2 separate regions of the Mus musculus genome follow, and region 1 is reported to be linked to region 2. Evidence: microRNA targets listed by miRTarBase, many of them from high-throughput screens and not tested one by one. Region 2 holds a microRNA gene; the other region holds the end of a gene's coding sequence.

Region 1 (3,540 bases), not on the chromosome of region 2:
CCTTCTCCTCCTCCTCCTCCTCTCAAAGAACTTTCCACAATGAATTTATTGAATACAGTCTAAATCTAATGAAGGCAGCTTTCTCAAAGTTGCACACATCATTCTGGCAAATGCAGTTAAAAGTCAAGTCAGACTATAACACCCTGACAACAAACATCTGAGCCAGGGCAATCATCTTCACATCTGTCATAGTCCAAAGCAGTTAAGTCAGCTATCACATCCCCGTGCTGATGATCCCACTGATTCTGCTTTCCTCTCTTCCTCACCACTCAACTGTATATATAGAGTTATTAGATGGGGACCTGAGAAGTCTTCATATTTGTCCTTCTTGTGTAGGAGTGTGTGTGTGTTCAGGGCAGATATAGTTCAGGAGAGTTGTCCAAGAGTGACAGAATTAAGAGGAAATATGTGTTAGGTGAGGAGATTTGATGAGAAGAAAGGAATTTTCAGGAGAACACAGTAAGTGAAAGTAGAGGAGAATTAATTAATCAACAATATTTCAGTCTTCATCTTCCTTTCCTACCCAGGTTATTAAGGCTGCAAAGCCAAAAACTGACATGAAAAGTGTGGAGTGAAGTCACCTCATTTGAAAAACCTTTTCCTGAAGAATCCTGATGCTGCTCCTTGAACTAGACTGAACTACCTGAGGATAGCATTTTACAACCTCATCATCATATTGTATTACTTAGAAAAGGACAAATACTCAAAAAACATCTGAAAAATATATGTAAACTTATTATTAATTAAGTTATTAAGACTGCCCAACCTGGGGATCCATCCTATATACAACCACCAAACCCAGACACTATTGCATATGCCAGCAAGATTTTGCTGACAGGATCCTGATATAGCTCTCTCTTGTGAGGCTCTGCCAGTGACTGACAAGTACAGAAGCAGATGCTCACAGTCATCTATTGGATGGAACACAGGGCCCCTAATAAAGGAGCTAGAGAAAGTACCCAAGCAGCAAGTGGTCTGCAACGCTATAGGAGGAACAACAACATGAACTAACCAGTACCCCCCAGAACTGTGTCTCCAGTTGCATATGTAGCAGAAGATGGCCTGGCCGGTCATCAATGGGAGGAGAGGCCCTTGGTCTTGCAAAGATCATATGCCCCAGTACAGGGGAATGCCAGGGCCAGGCAGCAGGAGTGGATGTGGGTGGGTTGGGGAGTGTGTGTGGGGGGTGTTATAGGGGACTTTCGGGATAGCATTTGAAATGTAAATGAAGAAAATATCTAATAAAATTGTTGCTTTGTCTAAGGTTTGAGATATCATTCTTCTCTACATAGACACTGAGGGTATAAGTATGGCGGGATTGCAGATGTGACAGCAGGGCCTTGTCGGAGAGACGCCTGTGGGTGATAGAGAAGATTGGTGATATATAATTTTTTAATTTAAAAATTTTAAATTTCCTTTTGGGGAGGAGGTTACAGGTGGAGGAGGGTGGGTATGATAGTACTAAGAAATCAGTGATATTGGGGTATGTGATGTGAAATTCCCTAGCACTCAATAAAAGAATTATGTTTTTAAAAAGAAAGATTGTTGATAAATAAATAAATATGATTTTACTCATGATTCAGAAAGTTAGAAAAAAGTTTGTGACTGTTCTATTTTTATTACTTATTCCATTTTTGATATCATAATACAATGATACTATTTCCCTCTTTCCTTTCTTCCCCCTAAATCCTCCCATGTACCATTCCTTGCTTTCTTTCAAATACATGGCCTTCTTTTTCATGAATTGTTGCTATAAGCATATATGCATATCTACATATATATATAAATACAACCTGCTCAATCTGTACAATGTTGCTTGTATGTATATTTTCAGGGATGACCATTTGCTATTGAATGATTAATTGCTGTGCTTTTTCCCAGAATAGACTGTTCTTCCAATAAATAATGTTAGGTAATTGCAAAAATCACATTTTTTTTTAGATTCCACCCAGAGAGCTGAGGTTGTAGTACAAGCACATGAGAAAAACCTAAGGAAAGACAAACATCTTCAGAGAGTGAGGAGAAGGAAATATTTCTACCTGGGGCAGGTAGTGCATACTAGACAACTCACAAATTATAATTAAGTTAAAATGTTAGCAAATTAACCAAGATTGAGTTTAGTGGCATGAGAATGGAGATCTTCTGAGAACCTCCACCATAAGGAGAGCTTATGCTCATTTTCAGGTACTTTCCTGGGTGGGCATGAGAAAGTCTGGGCACATGCCTGGGAAAGATGAGCCGCTGAGGGAAAGGCATGAAGGTCTCCCTTGAGGTCCTCATATATGATAAAATTTCTCTAGTGTTGCAGGATATTTAATTACACAGTGAACCTCCAGATTGTGTTGTTTACAAGAAAAAGCTAGGCACAATTGAAGAAAGAATGAGCCAGAGGATGAGAAAGAGCTAGAAGGTTAGAACACATTGCCAAAGTTAGTTTGAAGCCATCAGAGAAATTAAGAAGCTAAGGGAAGCCATATTGAATCAGGCTGGAGAGGAATTTTGAGTTTGGAAGCTAGAAGCTTCCAGGACTAGACCTAGGTTAGTAGACAGAGGCAGTAAGTCTCCAAGATGACTATTACCTCTTGTGAATAAAAGTTACTCTTACACTCTAGGGGAAGAGAAGCAACTCTTACTCTTCATGGCAAAGAGACCTGTTATGGTTTGTATATGCACAGCCCAGGGAGTGGCACTATTAGAAGGTGTGGCCTTCTTGAATTAGGTGTGGCCTCCTTGGAGTAGGTATTTTTAAGACCCTCATCCTAGATGCCTAGAAGCCAGTATTCTGCTAGCAACCTTCAGATGAAGATGTATAACTCTCAACTCCTCCTGCACCATGCCTGCCTGGATGCTGCCAAGCTCTCATCTTGATGATAATGGACTGAACCTCTGAACCTGTAAGCCAGCCCCAATTAAATGTTGTCCTTGTAAGACTTGCATTGGACATGGTGTTTGTTCACACCAGTAAAACCCTAACTAAGACAGGAAGCTTTGAAACAAGGGGAAGGAAAAATTGTTCTGCTTCTGGAGCAAAAGAAGGAATAGGTTCTAGGTATGGAATACTAAATCTTCCAACATGTGGAATTGTGTAGAATTAAGGATGAAACTCCTTCATACTTAGAAACACACATGACTCAGTGTTTGCCAAAGACAATAGATCAATAGAACTGTTGTCAGCTGAACAGATCAATAGAATATCCTCTAGTCACTCTACAATTTTTTTTCTTTTTATGACTCTGCTGAACAACCATCAGCTAACAGCTAACTGCAGACAGCTTCTAGGAGACAGTCATGTAAGTGCCTGTGCTTATTTTCCAGGTCCAGGTCACCTGATATGGTTGCAAGGAATTAAGTCAGGCCAGGTTGGAGGGACCACAGCCCAATGTCACAGGTGTGTCAATTTCATTGAGAACAATCATACTTTTTATATCTTTATCAAAAGCAGAATATGGTGAAAATTTCCAGGATCAGTATAGTTGTAGTTTCCCGGATACAAAGATCTTTGCAAGCTAATTACCTTCAATATCTGTGTCATATAAGTGT
Region 2 (3,000 bases):
CACATGATAAGCTTGTGCTGCTTGGCGGACATTGCCCCATGAGGCAATGGGAGAGAGCAGGACATGGCGCGTGCGCGCCTGTGCCACTCACTAGGACCACTGTTCACATAAGGAATGATGGCCCCTGTCTGTCCTTGCCCCTCCCTAAAGGCCTAAGCCATGGTTTATGTTCACCTCCCATTCTGGATAAATGGACACAGAGAAGGTGAGTAGAGCAGACGCACATGGATAGAAGGGTTGCCTGCCTCTGTCCTTAGGCACTGTAGAGGCACGATAGTCAGACCGAACTTCCATCCATTCCAAGGAACAGAGTGGGATGGCGGAGGGCTGAGGCAGCGCTGCGCGTGCCCAAGCCAATGTTTGCCGAAGCCCTGCCAGCCGTGCTCCCCAGTCCAAGCCCCACCGACATTCCCCATAGATGACAGCAGAGAAAGGCTTCTTCTTGGCTCCGGGGGACAGGAAGCCATGGCCTCTCCTCCTGGTGCCTCTGCTGGAGCCCTGTTCTTCTCAAATGTTGTCCTGACGACTTGACCATCTCTCCTTCTCTTCCCCTCTCTTTCCAGATCATTCGCAAAGTCGTCCGGCAGGTAGACTCGTCTGGTGCCATCGACACCCAGCAGCACGAGGAGGTGATTGTCGAGGGTCCCCTGGCAGACCCTGGGGATCTGGAAGCAGATATTGAGTCCTTTATGAAACTTACTAAGGTACCAAGGCACTGCAGGCCCCTGGAGGCCGCAGCAAGTTCACCTCCGCCTCACCTCTACTTTGCTCCAGGTTGCAATGCTGCCCCTGGCTACCTTTCTGGCGGACAGATGGTGTTCCCACCTCCTCCTTCTCCTCCTCCTCCTCCTCCTCCTCCTCCTCCTCCTCCTCCTCCTCCTCCTCCTCCTCCTCCTCCTCCTACTCCTCTCTGTCCTGACCCTTCTCACTTCCTGCCCGAGCTTGCTCATCTGCCTGTGTGATTTCCTACTTTCTGTCTCTGATGCTGTCTCCAGGTGGAGCTAAGAGGGAGTGGACTCCAGCCGGACCTGATAGAGGGCAGGAAGGGGGCTCAGATAGTGAAGCGGGCCAGCCTGAAAAGGGGCAAGCAGTGACCTCTCCTCAAGTAGCCCCTTGGGAGGTAACAGTGGCTTTCTCGTCCTTGCTGGCATGGTCCTTGATGAGGTAGCTGCTTGCTGCTCCCAACCCACCCCATCCTTGCACTACTAGCTCAGTTCAGAGTTAAAACCAGACTCTCAGAATCCCACTCCTCAAACTAGCCACTGTCTCTGCCCCTCCACGTCCTCTTCAGACCTGTGCCTCTCTGTTGACACCAGTCTGCTGGAGAGTACACAAAATCAGGGGCTTGGGTTTATTTTGCTTATTTATATTTTCTTTTGTCTTTTTTGGCTGTGTTAGGGGGGTGGGACCAGAGATAGGCATTCTGAGCCACACCTTCAGTCCCTGTGCAATTTAGTTATAAACAGAGTCTCTCTATATAGCCCTGGCTGTCCTGGAACTTGCTAAATAGACCAGGCTGGCCTTGAACCCACAGAGATCCAGCTGCCTCTGTACTGGAATTAAAGGCATGCAGCACCATGCCTGACTGTACCAGTATAATGTTAAAATAGTGCTTTGAAGTAGTGCTCAAAACACAGTCTGAGCCTATCTCACTACACATGGTCAGAAAGCACGCCAGACATAAACCTTAAGGCTCACTGGAGTCCTAACCTGCCATAGCTTTAATTCGATTACTGTTCTGAGAACAAGGCTGCTCGCTTGATGTCTGAGAAGGAACTAAGTTAGCAGACCCAAGGCATAGGTAGAATCTTCCCTGGAAGTGAGGAAGGTCTTCATGGCTAACGGCTGTACTAGTGTGTGAGGGGTGTGCGTCAGGGCGGGGGCCAAGGATGGGTGGGCCAGGCTACGCAACGAAGATCTTCAGCAGGCTGCAGTGCCCAAGAGCCAGCCTCAGCAGCCAGCTCTGATCTCGCCCTCCCTGAGGGGTCCTGTACTGAGCTGCCCCGAGGTCCTTCACTGTGCTCAGCTCGGGGCAGCTCAGTACAGGATGCGTCAGGGTGGGAGACAACGGGGAACAAGCCAGCATCACAGCCTCTGCCCATGCACAGCACTAACTGGGTTATTGCCCCTTCCCCCACCCACCCCCACCCCTGAACTCTCAGGGCCCAGCTCCAGAGCCGAGCAGCAGGCAGTCACTGGTTTTCTGCCTTCTGCAAAAAGCAGGGCCCGCGCAGCCTCCTGGGCCGGCAGAAGTGCTGACTTGATGCTTCCCAACATATCTCAGCACTTGGACAATATGAGGCTGGGCAGAGCCCGATAGGAGAGTAAAATTAGCCCTGACTCCTCAGCAGCTGTAAGGAGGTCACAGTGTTAACCCCAGCACTGCCAGGAGGGTCCTGCATGTCTGCTGATTTAAAGGCCAAGACTCGCTCTTGATCCCGGCTGGGAAACAACCCAAAGGTTCGAGTCATTTTTAAAGGAGGGAGGGAGGGAGAATGTCTTCTTCAGCCCTATCTTTCTTACAGTGGCAGCCGGACTTGCACTTGTGTTTGTTGGCTGAGACTTTATCCAGGGCCTCAATGGGAGGCAGCAACGGCAAGGCAGCTGAAGGACAGGGCAGAAGTAGAGTGTTTCATTAATTTACTGTACCCGGCATGCCCCTGCCCCAACACCCCCCCACACACACACACACTACACACATACACACACACACACACACAACACACTACATATACACACACTACACACACACAACACAACACACACACATACACATACTAAATACACAACACAACACACATACACACACACAGGCACAACACACTTACACACACACACACACACACACACCACACACACACTACATATACACACACTACACACACACAACACAACACACATACTAAATACATAACACAACACACATACACACACACATACACACACAGGCACAACACACTTACATACACACACACATACACTCTCTCACATACACACTAC

Evidence for each region. Region 2 holds the annotated microRNA mmu-miR-486b-5p (UCCUGUACUGAGCUGCCCCGAG, at 1,987-2,008, shown strand). A microRNA usually pairs through its seed, bases 2 to 8, with sites in the 3' UTR of a target mRNA and lowers its output. Matches are read on the target gene's strand: a 7mer-m8 pairs with bases 2 to 8, a 7mer-A1 pairs with bases 2 to 7 and ends in A, and an 8mer does both.
Region 1: the mRNA of Aim2 is a reported target of mmu-miR-486b-5p. Seed matches in the 3' UTR shown: 7mer-m8 at 1,120-1,126.

What each region holds. Positions count from the first base shown.
Region 1 is chr1:173,464,444-173,467,983 of GRCm38, forward strand. Aim2 (absent in melanoma 2) reads left to right here. Exons shown (of 9, transcript NM_001013779.2): 9 at 528-1,597. The coding sequence ends at 575. Among named protein-coding and RNA genes, the nearest start is that of Ifi206, 25 kb to the right of the region's middle.
Region 2 is chr8:23,140,601-23,143,600 of GRCm38, forward strand. Mir486 (microRNA 486) reads left to right here and starts at 1,955; the gene lies at 1,955-2,082. It overlaps Ank1 (ankyrin 1, erythroid), which reads left to right. Exons shown (of 44, transcript NM_001110783.3): 42 at 564-629; 43 at 996-1,120. The coding sequence ends at 1,094. It overlaps Gm15816 (predicted gene 15816), which reads right to left. Exons shown (of 6, transcript NR_169137.1): 3 at 2,524-2,604; 4 at 225-665. It overlaps Mir3107 (microRNA 3107), which reads right to left and starts at 2,062; the gene lies at 1,973-2,062.